3 linked regions of the Cricetulus griseus genome follow. Each later gene encodes a partner of the first gene's protein in a complex. Links are inferred from orthologs where the notes say so. Each region holds a gene or a part of one and is shown on either strand. Other genes may lie near its edges.

What was found.
Region 2: Tfdp1 (region 1) and Lin52 share a complex: the UniProt entries of both Homo sapiens proteins name them as parts of the DREAM complex. The link is inferred for Cricetulus griseus from reciprocal best matches to the Homo sapiens genes TFDP1 and LIN52.
Region 3: Tfdp1 (region 1) and Lin54 share a complex: the UniProt entries of both Homo sapiens proteins name them as parts of the DREAM complex. The link is inferred for Cricetulus griseus from reciprocal best matches to the Homo sapiens genes TFDP1 and LIN54.

Annotation. Positions count from the first base shown.
Region 1 is NW_023276807.1:67,424,825-67,429,768, forward strand, and holds part of Tfdp1 (transcription factor Dp-1), read right to left. Parts: intron 1,077-4,944; coding exon 970-1,076; intron 1-969. UniProt on the Homo sapiens protein: Can stimulate E2F-dependent transcription.
Region 2 is NC_048598.1:119,313,876-119,319,326, reverse strand, and holds the start of Lin52 (protein lin-52 homolog), read left to right. Parts: upstream 1-1,808; 5' UTR 1,809-2,014; coding exon 2,015-2,045; intron 2,046-5,451. Other genes in the region: Aldh6a1 (methylmalonate-semialdehyde dehydrogenase [acylating], mitochondrial), read right to left, coding at 1,371-1,427.
Region 3 is NW_023276807.1:162,537,955-162,543,506, reverse strand, and holds the start of Lin54 (protein lin-54 homolog), read left to right. Parts: upstream 1-1,909; 5' UTR 1,910-2,048; intron 2,049-4,015; exon of another isoform or gene 4,016-4,259; intron 4,260-5,552. UniProt on the Homo sapiens protein: Component of the DREAM complex, a multiprotein complex that can both act as a transcription activator or repressor depending on the context. In G0 phase, the complex binds to more than 800 promoters and is required for repression of E2F target genes.

The DNA.
Region 1 (4,944 bases):
AAGGCACCGGACACCAAACCTGATGACCTGAGTCCAATCCCCAGAACCCACATGGTAGAGCAGAAGAAAACAACTGCAAGCTGTCCTCTGACCTCCACATACATCTAATACACAGAAAAAGAGAACAAAAAATAAATACATATAAAAAAATGTTCAGCTAAAGACTCCTAAGGCCCCGTGATTAATTGAGGGAGGGTACTAGGTCCTCCTCAGAAGACATGAAGCTGGTGGGGTAAGACACTGTGAGAGAAAGCAGCATGTGGGCAATGGAGCAGGACAGAGGTGCACGTGTCACAAGGACCCGGTTTCCAGGAGAAGCCAAACAACTAGAGGCTAGGGGAAAAACCTAGAGCCATGAAGAAGGTAGGTCCCTGGATGAAAGACAGGAATCTGTCCACTATGGGTCTGTGCTAAAATACCCCCGAAGGAACCTCCAGCTACAGGTGAGCTCGCTCCACTGGCCTGAGACCGAATCACACTGAGGGGCTCTTCATCTTTGATGTGTTACTCAATGAAGGAAGGGGATGGTGCTGGTCCCTTCCTGTGGCCATAGCCACACAGCCACACCCTTCCTTCATCTCTTCGCAACTAGGAGACACAGTGGCTATAGAAAAAGGCCACAGAACTTGTTGTAACACAGAGGCAACTCTAACTCAAGAGCTCTAGCTACGGAAGCCATGGAGCAGGAAGCTTGTTCAGGCCTTAGTCCTTCTATATCCATTAGGTTACTGCCATGTGTATAGGGCCTCCAAATACTCCTAGACATAGGGCACACTGAAGAAACGGAAGACTGAGCACTATGTCTGTACAACAGAAAGCAGTGCACACTTTCAGGAGTCAGAATGCACCCAAGAGAGGAGAGTCACTCCTGCAAGCAACCTCCACCACTTAGGAACACTGTGGCCACAGCAACACCGCCCACATCTAGCCCATTCCATACACCTGGGATTCATGTGTCTTACCACTTACCACTTGCTGTGTGATATTGACATTGGACTGTCCAAAGGTTTTTGGCAAAAGCTGCTTTCCAAGTGTGTTCACTGTGGATGGGTGGACAGCTACAAGAGACACCACACCTGGAATACAAGGGCACAGGTTAAGAGTCAAGCTGTTCTCTGAGCTGAGGTTAAAAGGGGCAGTTCCAGGAAGATGGTGTTTCTATCAAGAACCCTAGTCTTGACATTGCAGACCAATGGCTCAGTCACAAATGTCCCAAACTTGTCCGTGAGCCCTCCAGTTCCCTCTCCTGGGCACTGGCTAAGGAAGATACTGGGCCCAGGGACTAGCAGGGTTCATTTTACAGCAGGCATCAGACTTACCACAGCACCTCAACATGCTGTTCCATCACTACTAACAGCCCATGCTCTGTCCCGACCCTCGAGTCTTGGGAATAAAATGGCCATTTCTTTGCTTTGATGCGGCAAAATAATGTAGAACACCTTAGGTGTTTCCCAAACACGAAGACTGACACACAGAATCCCCAAGGAAGGCTGGCTTTTCAGCTTCAGAGAGCAATCAGAACATGAACTAGAGCTAACTCTCACTAAAGAAAATGTCTAAATGTCAACTATGAAGACTTTCAAAGGAACCAAATGTTAAGTATAGCTGTATAGATGGTATCAACTGCCACAATTCAGGAAAAGATCCTAAAACATTACATTCACATTTTTGTAACTGTTAAGTACACCCTTCCTATCTTCAGATTTAAGGCAGCAAATTATGAAAGTGTAAGACCTGGTGTTCTCTGACCTGACCAAACAAAGGATTGACAAGTCGAGAGTTCCCCCACCTGACCTTAGCCAAAAGGTCAACAAATGAGTTTTCCCAAGTTTTTTGTTTGATTTTTCATTTTAGAGTATGTCTAGGGATTGAACCCAGAGCCTCACACATGCCACACCAGCACACCATCTAAAGTCCAGTATAAAAATGGTTGTAAGTAAATAGTCCAAAATACTAACAATGTTCTTTACAGAGATAGAAGCAGTCTAAAATTAGGAGGCATAAGAAACCCAAACAGCCAAAGTAACTGCAAGCAGAAAGAGCAGTGCTGGAGGGTTACCAATACCTGATCTCAAATTAGAGCCACAGCAACAAAACAGACCCACAGATCAATGTGTTAGAATGGAAGATCCAGAAATCCAAGGGGCTACAGACACCTGATTTTCAACAAAAATGCCAAAGGCATACACTGGAGAAACAGCAGCCTCTTCTGAGTGGTGCTATGAAAACTAGATTTCTATGTGCAAAAATAAATAAATAAATAAATAAAATAAAACAAAACAAAAAAGAGCTAAATAATCTTGTGCAAAAATGTGTTCCAACGAATCAAAGATCTTAATGCAAGACCTCACACTCTGAAACTGCCAGAGGAAGAGAGGACAAACACTTGAAGCTATAGGAATAGGCAAGGATTCCCTCAAAGGACTCCAACTGTTCGTTCGCACAGGAAATCATTCCAAGAACTGACAAAAGGATGAAAAGGAACAGCCTCTTCAGAGCAAGCAGTCGCCAGTGAAGACAGAGCTTACAAAAAAGGAGAAAAATCTTTGCCAGCTACTCATCTAACGGGATTAACATCACAATTGAAAGAAATGGAAAAATTCAACAACAGAGGAACAAATAAGCCAATCAATAACTAAGCAAATGATCTACATAATTTTCAAAAGTGCAAATAGCCAGTTAATACCAAAATAATGATAAGATGTTCAGCCACTTTAGCCAAGGAAAGTGATAATCAAAATGACACCGAGACTCCATCTGACCTGACAGAAAACAAGTAACAAATGCTGGAGGATATAGGGGAGGGGAACTCTTAGGCACCGCTGGTGAAGATAATACAAGCTGACACAGTCACAAGGGAAATCAGTGCAGAAGTTCTTTGGGTACTCATATGCATATAGTGTGTGGCTATATGCACTCATATATATGTGTATGCGTATGTGTGTGGCTATATGCATCTGAGTGCATATAGCCACACACATACGCATACACATATATATGACTGAACATAAAAAATGTCTGGAAAAAACAAAACTGGGGGCTAGAGAGGTGGCTCAGTGGTCAAGAGAGAGCACATGCTGCTCTTGAATAGGACTGGACTTGGTTGCCAGCACCCACAAAGTGGCTCACAACTGTCTACAACTCCAGGGTATCTAAGGTTTCTTCTGGCCTCTAGGGGCACCAGGCACACAGGTAGTACACATACATACATGCAAGTGAACACCCACACACATGAAATTTAAAAAGTTAATGCTGGCCGGGCGTTGGTGACGCATGCCTTTAATCCCAGCACTCAGTAGGCAGAGGCAGGTGGATCTCTGTGAGTTCAAGGCCAGCCTGGTCTCCAGAACGAGTGCCAGGATAGGCTCCACAGCTACACAGAGAAACCCTGTCTCGGAAAAAAAAAAAAAAGTTAATGCTGGGAATGTATGCCAGGGCCCTGGACACGCCAGGGTAAGTGTTCTACCACTCAGCTCATTTTGTATATTCAGTCACATTAAGAAATATACGTGATATCATGAGACACACTCAAATGGTAGAAAGTTACCAGAGTAACATGGGTCAACATATCATCACCTCTCAGAGAGCAGTTGCCTATTGCTTTAGGAGCAAGAGCAGCTAACAAAGGGGTAGCAGAGATAGCTCAGAGGTTAAGAGGCTGCTCTTCCAAAGTACCTGGGTTCAGTTCCCATCACCCAAATGGTGGCTCACAAGCATCCACAATTGTAGGTCTGATGTCCTTTTCTGGGCATCCCTGGGCATCTGGCATGCACATGGTGCACAGACATATACGCAGGCAAAACACCCGTATACATAATAGAAATTAATTGGAAGGAAAAAAAAAAAAAAAGCAACTAATCCATCTCAGTAGAAATGAGGCCTCATACTGCCTGCCAGAGGGGACCCCTGCCCTACTTCACCCACATCCTCACTTTCTCTCCTCTAATCCAACACAGGTAAACAGCTATGCTCTCTCTGCACGTTTCATTTCTGGTTTTTAATTCTGTGTGATTGAGACACACAGTAATTTTCTGTGTCTGGTTTACTGTCTTAGTGTAATGTCCTTCCTGTTCACCCCCACTGTGGCAAATGGAAAACTTTAACTTTCTCAGAACATACAATTCCCCCAGTTTCTTTATCCATTCAGCCACTGACAGGCACAGTTGTTTCTGTGCCTTGTGAGCAATACTACAATGGGTGGTGCCTTCACCATAGTGACCTTACCTCCCTTGAGAAGAGCCCACAGGAGGAGTGGCTGGGTTCCTCAGGGGGCAAACTGGTCTTTCTAACCCACATGAGTGGGTTAGAAATTGGTGTGCATGCTCATTAGTGGTGTGCAGGGGTCTCAGGGATCCCTCCCCTCTAGCAAGACCTCTACAGTTCCTTTTATATCTGTGCACCTCATGCATGCTGTGCCTGACAAGGCCAGAAGAGGGCATCTGAGCCCCAGGAACTGGAGTTATAGATGGATGGGAGCTGTTGTGTGGGTGCTAGGAAGAGAACAAGAGACTTCCAGAAGAACAGTGATCTCAACTGCGCTATCTCTCCAGCCCACCCTTACATCTCAGGTTATGATTCACTCTGGTCAGAAACAAAACTGACCGCACATACCTCCTGGCCACCTGGGTCTTCTTCAAAGCCTACAGTGAGAGCTATTTCACCCACTGTGCTACAGGCACTGTTGGCTGATCTGTCAGGACCCTAAGAGGTGCTGGTGGGTGTGTGGACACCTGAAACACAACTTTCTTCCTTCAAGGAGTCTCCAGGGGACACCACCCCACACAGACAGGTCTCCTGTTCACCTGCCCCACCTCTCAGGCTGAGGGAGGTGGGCTCTGAGCCAATGCCATAAGCTGCCTATTTAGCATGAGGACCCTCCATCATCACACAGCACAATCACTTAGGCACAAGTTTCATTTTGAGGCCAAAGACACAATCCTGAAG
Region 2 (5,451 bases), on another chromosome or scaffold:
GAACTAGGGGAGTAAAGTCATGCCAACCCTCTAAGGCCAACTCATTCCTCACACTGTCCCATTAAACAGCATATCCAAACCTGAACCTTTGTCGACTCCACCAATAATCTAACAAATGCACATTTTGCTGCAGAACTCATAGAAACCTGATGAACAGAAATAAAATTTTATGTATGTGCAACAGTATAGAGGGCATCCCCAGGCTGGATGAGTAAGAAGGAGACAATGTTGCTTAATGCAGGATTATGAATCTTTTTTTTTTTTTTTTGGTTTTTCGAGACAGGGTTTCCCTGTGGCTTTGGAGGCTGTCCTGGAACTAGCTCTTGTAGACCAGGCTGGTCTCGAACTCACAGAGATCCACCTGCCTCTGCCTCCCAAGTGCTGGGATTAAAGGCGTGTGCCACCACTGCCCGGCGGATTATGAATCTTGACAGTAACAGTATCTTGCCTCATGCTCTAGATCCTTGCTAAGGTGAAAGCTCACAAAAGGGTATCAACAAAGCTGGGGATCATAGGCTTGAAGCTTCCATAGCTCTACAACTGCCCTTAGGCAGTCTTCTTTGGGGTTCCAGTCCCAGTCTGGCAGAGTGGGAGTGTGTTTGCATTTGAGGAGCTGACTTTGGGAACATGTCTTCCTAGGCTCTCATTTTCTACCACCTGTTTGGGAAATATTTAGTCCTTTGAATGAATCAGTATTAGCATAACGTGCCCTTATTTACCTCCAAACGTTAACTTTGTTGAGAAAGTTTAACTTGGCCCAGAGCTTGTGAAAAACACTAGGAGCCATCATAGTTTGGGAAAACAGCTAGCAAATGGCTGCCTTTGATGTGGAAACCTAGGGTACATTTCTAGGCGATTCAGAGTTCCTTCGCACGACCCTAGTTGCACGACCCTAGTAGCACGACCCTAGTGAGCTCCCCTCCCTCCTCCCCTTACCTCAGATTATGTACAGAGGTTGGGTGGGGGAAGGGACACCCCTAAAATAAATTACTCTGAGAAAGGTGACCAAAAGGGGGGAGTTTCTGGGGAACAGAGGTGGCTGGTGCAGAGGTGAGAGACCGTGGGAGGAACCAGAGAGAGAAAGCAAGCCAAAGAGTGACAGTGGGCACTGAGCCGAACTGGAGGTGGGTGGGTCAGAGCCAGAAAAGGAAAGGCTCAGGAGCAAAAGGAGGGAGAGCCAGGCGTGACAGTCTGGGGCTGGATGCAGGGCCAGAGACAGTACAGAGTGACAGCCGGACACTCGGGGCTGGTGGAAGAGGGTCGGCAGAGGGGCTGGGACAGTAAGTCTGTCCGGCAGGAGCATGGTTTAGAGACGGGGCGGTAAGGACCCATTCCTAACATCATGGTCCCTCGTCGCCACCCTCACTCGCCTGCAGGATCCGGGTCCGCACTGCCGCCGCCGCCGCCGCCGCCGCCACCGCCGCCATAGCGCAGCACTTCTGCCTGGTTCACGAGCCAAGGCTGCCAGAGCCTCCCAAGAAGTCACACCGCTAGGCCACGCCTTCCACACGGCCGGGCCTTGCCATTGGAGGAGAGGGCCACGTCTCGTAACCAATCGCTTGTCAGAACTCTTGACTCCCACCCGTCCCTCCCAGTCTTGGGACTATGTGATTGGTCAGAAGAGGAAGCGTTCTCGCCCACTCTCACCCCAGCCGATTTTTGTTGGCGGAGAGCGGGAGACGCCCCCACCCCGACTCGGTCCTGCATATTAAGCACCAAGCGGAGCTGGGGAAGACGCCCCCTAACCGGGAGCTCCGATTGGCTACAGGTAGGCAGCCTCGAGGCCTCGCCCCCTCGCTAAGGAAAGTAAATAAGGCCCGTGGAGAATTTTGCCTGCGTTCCACCTTAACTACGGCGCCCCGGGCGGGGCTGCCTTCTGGGGTGGGACTAGGCAAATGTTACCCTATGGGCTAGGGCAGCAAGACCGGGTCGCGAGTTGAGGATAGGTTATTTCTCCAGGGGCGTGGCTTGTGGGTCCTCGCTTTCCCGCCGACGGTTGGCCACGTCACGTGACATGGGCTGGAAGATGGCGTCTCCCACGGACGGTAAGAGCCGGCTTGGAGATTGTTGCCCTGTAGTCTCTTTATTTGCTTCTCTGGGAGCTTCCTATGCCTTCACGCTTACCCTTCTTTCTTGGGCTCCTCTCCTTGCTCTCCCACTTCTTTCCTTCCGGGTATGTCGGGTTTTCAGCCCGCAGGGTTTTCACAGCGTCCCCGGAGGTGCCAAGTACCAGGTCTCCCCACTTGCTGGGTGAAGGAGGCCACCAAACAGACCCTTTCCCGGAAACAGGACAGAGTTCGGCCTGGCCCATCGGTGATGCCGAGGGCTCAGAAGGGGCTTCAGGGGAAAGGCAGCTTTCTTTTCGGATCCGCTCCTTGGAGTGTCGGTTCTGATCTCATCTCAGTAGAGCTAGAAGGAGTCTTTGAAGTCCTAGCTGTGGCTGGTGACTGACGTGAGGTTTCGAGTTCATCCCTAGGTCGAGAAACACGCTGTCTCCTTCTCAGTTTAGGTCCGTTGCCCTGGCAGCAGGAGAATCAAGGACCTGGTTTCCTGGCTCTGAGTCCCGAGGGAAATGAAAAGTAGTCTTGTTAATATAGTTTGTAGCGTCTCACACTCTTATTTTTTTTATGTGTTGTTTCCGTAGCCTGAGAGCAGGAGCAATTCTGCTTACATGACATCTAAGATGCAATTCATCTTAGGTGGCAATTAAGTATTTTCGTTATACCTGTATGCTTTTGCTCGAGGTTCTGTTTCAGGATTTGGAATTGCCCTTCAGTCATTATTCAGTATCTCAGTATATTCATTCTCAGCATAGTTATTTTGTTTTGGCCACAACCTAATTATAAGTTTCAAGTCTGTCTTATTTCAGAGTTTAATCCTAGGTTTTATCCTAATGCCTGCAAAGCATTTGGCCTTAAGTTAATGTTTCTCAAAAAATGAAACTGGCCTTGGTGTGTGACCTCTAATCCTAGCTACTTGGGAGATCAAGGCAGGAAGATTGTTGCTTCAGGCTTGCCTAGGTTACAGAAGGAATTGTGGGCAAAGTATGTCTCAAAAAGGTGGGGTTTTTTGTTTGCTTGTTTTTCTAGACAGGGTTTCTCTCTGTAACCCTGGCTACCCTGAAACTCATTCTGTAGACCGTGCTGGCCTAGAACTCAGCCCCTCCTGCCTCTGCCTCTTGAGTGCTGTGATTAAAGGCATGCATGACCATCCAGTGGATCTGACTGACCTCCATGGGCATCAGGCAGGCATATTGTGCCCATAACATTCAGACAACAGCAATACAGATAAATAAATCTGAAAATAAAAAGTGAGTATATAGGTTAGTGGGAGAGAGCTTTGCCTCTGATGAACAAAGCCCTACGTTCAGTCTCTAGCACACATCTAAACTAGTGAAAAGTAGGTGTTGGTGGCGCTCGCCTTTAATCCCAGCACTCGGGAGGCAGAGGCAGGCGGATCTCTGTGAGTTCAAGGACAGCCTTGTCTTCAGAGGGAGTGCCAGGATAGGCTCCAAAGCTACACAGAGAAACCCTGTCTCAGAAAAACAAAAAACAAAACAAAATAAACTAGTGAAAAGTAAATAATTCAAAGGGTTTTTGCTTTTAAAGAATCGGGGTTCATGGTGTTGTAATGTCTCAACATGGAGAGGATTGGGAAAGAACATAGTGGGTTTAAGGGGTTTTCCCTACATGTAATACAGAAAGACATCAAGTAGCTTCTTGGACATGTTATTCTGAAGTTCAGGAGAAAGGTTGGGACTGGAAATATGAATAGTTGTTGTTATGTAATAGTGAGAGTTGTAGCGAGTAAAGCTAGCATAGGGTGAGGTTTGAGTGGAGACTGAAGAAGGAATAACTAAGAGAAGAACCAATATGGTGGTTTCATAGGAGCATAGAAGCATCACATGCTATTGAGAGGTCACAGAAGAAATGATTTCACATAGAGAACTTTGATAACTGTAGTCTAATGCATGCACAGACAGATCATGATTTTGTTTTATAGGTTAAGGAGGCAGAGTAGGGTCTGGGAAGGTGGCACAGTATGTAAGCATGCTTGCTCTTCAAAGATGAGGACCTGAGTTCAAATCTCAGGCACTCACTTAAAAGCTAGGTATGGGTGCATGTGCCTATAATACCAGCATCTTGGACAACAGAAACAGGTGGATCCTGAGAGCTTGCTGGCTAGCCAGTCTAGCTAGCTTCTGGTTTAGTGGGAGACATTGTGTCAAGACAATAAATCTGAGAGCAAAAGGAATACATTCAGCATCCTTCCTGATCTTCACAGTCACAGACACCTACATCTGCACTCATTACACCCATACAGTGAGTGCCCTCTCGAGCACATGCATGCTCACACACAGAGGAATGTGAGGTGTGGAAATAAGAACAGGATACCCTGGAGGGAGGTTGTGAGTTTAAGGGGAGAGACTGCATGTTTATAATGTTTATGTGTGTGTCTGCACTCAGACATGCATGTTGGTACCAGTATATGTGGAGTCTAGTTAACCTTAGGTGTAGTCCCTCAAAAGCCACCCACCTTGTTGAAGTAAGACCTTTCATTGGCCTGAAAGTAGTAGGCTAATGGCTAGCCAGCAAGGTCCAAGAACCCCTCAGTGCTGGGATCACTAACACTGCTACCTCATTTTTTTTTTTTTTTTTTTTTTTTTTTTTGGTTTTTTGAGACAGGGTTTCTCTGTGTAGCTTTGGAGCCTATCCTGGCACTCACCCTGGAGATCATGCTGGCCTCAAACTCACAGAGATCTACCTGCCTTTGCCTGCTGGAGTGCTGGGATTAATTGTGTGCGCCACCAACGCCTGGCAACCTCATATTTTTTTCATGTAAGTTCTGGAGAGCAAACTCAGGTCCTCAGGTTTGCTCAATAAGCAGTTTACTGACAGATCTTTCACAAACTGCCCCCCACCCCCACCCTCCTTGTCTTTTTTTTTTTCAAAGGAGGGAAATTCTGAGCTAATGAGATGGCTTATCAGGTAAAAGAACTTGTCACCAAGACTGCTAACCTTGGTTTGAGCCCAGAATCCACATGTTGAAGAAGAGAATCAACTTCAATTTTTAGGGCACAAATATGAACCCAATAAATATTATTTTACAGCCGGGCGTTGGTGGTGCATGTCTTTAATCCCAGCACTTGGGAGGCAGAGGCAGGCGGATCTCTATGAGTTCGAGGCCAGCCTGGTCTCCAGAGCGACTGCCAGGATAGGCTCCAAAGCTACACAGAGAAACCATGTCTCTGAAAAATCAATCAATCAATCAATCAATCAATCAATCAATCAATCAATCAAATAAATGCTCTCTTTTTTTTTTTTTTGGCTTTTTGAGACAGGGTTTCTCTGTGTAGATTGGGCTGACCTGGAAATCACTCTGTAGACCAGACTGGCCTCAAACTCACAGAAATCCACCTGACTCTGCCTCCTGAGTCCTGGGATTAAAGGT
Region 3 (5,552 bases), about 95 Mb from region 1:
CTAAAAGCTTTATTTAGTTCTTGGTCTTATATGAATTTCATTTATTTATTCTTTTTTTTTTTTTTTTTTTTTTGAGACAGGGTTTCTCTGTGTAGCTTTGGAGCCTATCCTGGCACTCGCTCTGGAGACCAGGCTGGCCTCGAACTCACAGAGATCTGCCTGCCTCTGCCTCCCGAGTGCTGGGATTAAAGGCGTGCGCCACCAACGCCCGGCTTTCATTTATTTATTTTTAACATTTTATTTTTTAAATTATGTGTATATCTGTGTGTGTTTGTGGTTGTGCACATGAGAATGGGTGCCCTTGGAGGTTAGAAGAGGATGTTGGATTCCCTGGAGCTGGAGTTACAGGCAGATGTAAGCCACCTGACATGGATGGTGGGAGCTGAACTTGGGTCCTGTGCAAGAAAGGTACCTGGGCCTAACCATGGAGAGATTTCTCCAGTGCCTTCTAAGAATTGTAATATTCAGCATAGTTGTTGAGTATTATATGATGCATCCCTAGATACCATGCTTTTTTCCTGTACACCAGGATACTGACTAATGGAAGACTATCATTCTCCACATAGACTAAATCCTTTGGTATGGTGTGAGCTCTTTTGACTACCAGATTGCTAACATTGATAAAATTGTAATAGTCACAGTAAAATCAGAAATGTTTCCCTTAATCTTTAGGTGCTGCTTTATAGTAGTGGTATCAGAATTGTGCTAGCCTGGTGGAAGGAACTCAGAACTTTTCTATTAAGGTGTGTGTGTGTGTGTGTGTGTGTGTGTGTGTGTGTGTGTGTGTGTGTGACAGGTGAGGATTATCTCTTTATACCCCACCAAATCTGGGAACTCCATCTCTGCCCTCTTCTTCCAGAGATGTCCCACAGTACCACTAGTCATGTGACCAAGATTTCTGGCTAGTTCTCAAAGTTTCTCATAAACTAAGTTCACCATACTGATCCCTAATAAAACCCATGTGTATTCTCCAACATTCTCCCTATGCTAATTCCACACCACTGAGCTTGCTAAAGTGTTGTTATAGCCCTACATTTCAGGCCAATATCTTGTAGGTGCTTGACACCTCTTGCTTTTAGTTAGCTGTTTGAATCTTGGGAATTTATTTTTGTTTTGCAGATGGAAAAATAAACTTGTTATATAGGAACTAGTGGAGGTACCAGAATTTAAACCAGAATTTAAACTCTCACCTCCTCTGTGCTGTTCCCAGGTACTCTCACATTACCTGTGTGGTTTCCACAGTCCTTTAGCAATGCACCTCCTGCCTAACTATTGGCCATTCAGCTTTTTATTAGACCAATCGGGTGTTTTAGACAGGCAAAGTAACACAGTTCTACAGAGCTAAACAAATGCAACACAAAAGACTGCAACGCATCTTTGCACCGTCAAACATCCCACAACGTAAATGAATGTAATACATCTTGAACTATATTCCACGACTGAATACAAAGAATCCACACCGTATTAGTACAAGGTGTGTACTGTACTGCAAAGCAAAATAACAAAAAACTCTCTTTCAAAATAAGTTTAACTTTGGGTGCTCCTCCTAGGAGCTTTTTTGGCGCCCCTTGCAAAATTCAGGTCTGTCTAAACTCCGAAGAGTTTGCACTGGGGAAAGGATGTCGACTCCCGCCTCACTCAAGCGAATCACCAAGCGTGGGCGAGCTGGAAACCGCACCTACAGTGGTCTTGCCGGGTGTTCCTCGCCTTCACTTTGACAGAGGTCCCAGGGGAAGTCACGTGAGAGCCTGAGAGCGCTTCCCCCCACCTTGCGCAGTGACGCGCGTCGGGTTGCCAGGGGGCGGTGCGGTGCGCGGAAGGGGCGGGGCTAAGGCCGCCGGCGGAGGCGGGGCGACGCAGGGGCGGGAGGGGCGGAGCGGCGCAGGGGCGGGGCGCCCGGCGTATTATGGGATGCGGCGGTGGAATGGCGCTGGGCGCGTGATTTTGAACAAACCCGGGTCTGTGTTTCGGAGGCGCCGCCGCCGCCGCGGCTGCTGGGAGCCCCGGGAGCGCGGCGCGAGAAGGAGGCGGCGGCGCCGCCGGCTCGGGTAAGTGTCAGCCCCGGAGACCCGGGCTGAGCTGCGGGAGCGGCGCCGGGCCCGTGGGGCGGTCGCGCGGTCGGAGAGCGCCGGCCGGCTCCCGGGCAGCTGGGCCGGTGGGCCGCGGCGGGCGGAGGGTCGTCGGGGCGCGGCCACGAGCCGCTGGCGCCTGAGAGCGCGGCTGTCACTCGGCGGGGTCGGCGCCGCCCGCTCGGCGCTCGGGAGGAAGGGCCCGGCGGCTGTTGACAGGCTCTCGGCGCGGCCCGGGAAGCTGCCGGCGGCCCCGTGCTTCTGGGAACCGGTTTTGCTGCTGTGTCATTTCGTACCAGCGCCTCCTTTCGCCGCTGCCCGCCGCCGCGTTCTTCCTGCGCCCCTTTGTATGGACTCCTCTGGGTGTGTGTCCGTTTCCCTCGCGAAGCCCACCAGCCAAATGTCATAATGTCCCCGCGGTGCACGGGGGAAGGGAGCGGGCTGGGACTCAGCCTGGCCAAGCAACGGTAAACAACCATCCGAGTGCCGGTGGACCCGGCTGTTGGTGGGGGAATAAAGTTGAAAGATGAAGGAGCTGGCAACCCCTTACTTACACGCTCAGCCTCTAGCGGGCTGTATATAAAAACGCGCCGGGAGTGGGTGGGACAGCACTTGATTAAGCCCGAGCCTGCTGACTTTTAGATGGAGTTGTCATTCACACAAGGTATGGAAATGAAATGGCTTCTGCTTCTACCGTATTCTTAGGTAAACTTAAGACAGTTGAATAGTCCTGTTCGCAACCCCGAGACTCAGTTTGCTGGTTTCAAATAGGTCTTTTAGAGCGTATATTATATTGAAGCTGAATGATAAAGAATACAGCTTTTTTAACTGGCAATTATTAAGGCTTTCTGAAATTAAAACGCTGATTTTGGGGGAATGCTGGTCCCATTAAGAAGCCTTGCAGCTTATGTGTTCTTGTTCCTTAGATGATTAAGCATTACTTGTATTCTCTTTTGGCTACTTATTAAACTAAACGATGAGAGGAACTGGAAGGGGTGGATAGGTAATTCCGGAATCTTGTTCTCAAGCAAGCTGTTTATTTTCACTGCATCAAACAAGTGTATCGGCAGCAGATGGTTTTTAATTTGGAAACTTAGATCCAAAAACCGTTTGGCAAGGGATTCTAGCGAAGAGCTGTGTGCCTTCTATATGTTAAAAGTTCGTGTTTTGTTCATGCCTCCACAGTTGGAATCAATCACTTTAAATCAATACACTTTAAATTTAGTGGAACTTGTACAAGTTAAACCAACGACAAGTTGACGCAATGGTGTTCATGAACAGAAATGATCAAAGTTAAGTGGAGAGGAAAATAGTTTAGAACTTTATTCTTAAAAATTAAAAAAAAAAACCCAACAATTCAAACCACTGTAGAATCAGCGCCTGTCATTAAGGGGTGCCCGAGAATCAGGCATGTATACGGAAATAGCTATACTGTCAAAGTAGTTCTGTGGGTGGAGTAGAATGCCAAAGTTGGTGAGTGACGTTGAAGGTGTCCAATGTCTCTGAAATGTACACGAAACACTGAAACTGTCTACCATCTCAAGTGTTTTTCTGGAAATGAAAGAGTTCGGGGTCTTTACTGTTCTTGTGTCAGATTCCGTATGGCTTGCCCTCCTAACAAATGCCTAGGGCTTGGAATCCCGCAGGTATCACGACTCCACTTGGCGTTCCCGCGGGGCCGCGGATGTCTGGTCCTGTGGTGGTAGGGCTGGCACGGCTCGCCGGTGAGCGCCAGAACCTCCGGTGTGCGTTTGAAGGTTGGCGCGGCGGGCGGGAGGTTTCCCCGGATATGTGGGTGTGTGCTGCTCGTGAGGGCGGGCCGGGGCGGGAGCAGGAGGAAGGGGGAGGTGACTGGTGGCGGCGGCTGCGGCGGCGGCCGGGGCTCGGCTGTCGGGGGAAGCTGCTGAGCTGTGATGGTGATGACGAGGTGAAAATGGCGGATCTTTCGAAATACAATCCCGGCCCCTGACATACCAGAGGCGGCGGCCGCGGCGACATCGCTTCCCCGGCTCCCTCCTGACTCCCCGGGTACCCTGTAGTGCTCCATTTCGGGCAAACTGGGAAAGGAAGCAGCTGGACAGAGCTACCGTGTACAGGCAAAACAAGCACTGCCCAGGCTGGGAATTGCCCGGGACCTTCTGGAGCCCGCTCCTCGGAGCCGGAGGGTGGAGAAAGCGGCAGCCTCTGGAGGTAGAGGAGAAGGGGGGTACCCGGGGGCTCTCCGTCTACAGAGCTCTTTATTTGGGAGCTGGGGGAGGAAATGCGTTTCGGACCAAGAATGACTTGTCCGGAGTGCAAAGAATCAGTAGCCTCATAATGACATCAACATTATTTTTTTTTTTTTCAGTATCAAGGGTTGAGTTCGCTTACACCTAAGGCTGCTGCTGAGGCCTAGAGGAACCGCTAGTACTTACCATGATTTCCTGATAGAATACTTAAAATACCCACTCAGTGGGGGTTGGCTGGTGGTGGTCAGCAGTTTAGGGAGTTGTGTTTCTTTGGGGAGGCAGGGCATTGGCATTTTCTTCCACATTTAATGTTGGTGACAGAACATAGTCTAACTTGTTGGGGTGTGGATCCTCATCTATTTTTGAACATAAGGACCAGTGTTGTAGCAATCAAAAAAAATTATATGGCGCCTGTCATCCTTGGGGTGGTACCTTTGAACATGCCACTTGGCAAATAACAATTGATACTGTAAATCATATTTTCTGCCCAGTTTTAAAGGGATTTTCTTCTCTGTTCCCATCTGATTTGATAAATTCAGAGATCGAAGTTATGGAAAATTTTATAATAGGCTATATACTAAGTGAAATTCTGTTGGGAGCCCTATTCTGCTTGTGAGTTTACCTTCACTGTCAGAGGAATGCTTTGAGCACATTGAACTGATACAGATATTGAAGCTTGTTACGGAGCAAATGCAGTGTCTTTGTTCAGGTAGGCAGAGCACTGTTACCTTGGTTATAAGGCTTGATTGACCTTATCATGGCCCCCTGCTTACTTTTGTCACCTGATGGTCCTTGCTGAGTTAGGCTGTGCTGCACAGTTCTTAGGCAGTATCTTTGCACAAAGCAGGAACGATACCTAAAGGTTACATGTTATACAAAATTTTAATCAATGGTTTGGGGTCCTCCTTTTTTCTTCAACTTAAGTGGTAGAAGGTTGGGTCAGTGACCTTGAATTATGAGAGTAAACAGGTTAATATTTAAGAAATGCCTATTAGTAATATTTATGAGTAGCAACAGATTTTTCTTTCTCAGGTTGTCTACAAAGTAATATGACAATACTTTTTTTATTTGAATTACAAACAAGATTGAATTGCATGACAATCCCAGTTCCCTTGACAATACTTTATATATTAGCATATGGTATATTGTGTATATACAGGGCAAGTATTTTGTGTGAATGTGTGTGTATAGTTTGGACTTTGGCTTTCACTCACTGCAAGAATGAGAAGCCAAAGAATGTTTTACAGCAAATGTT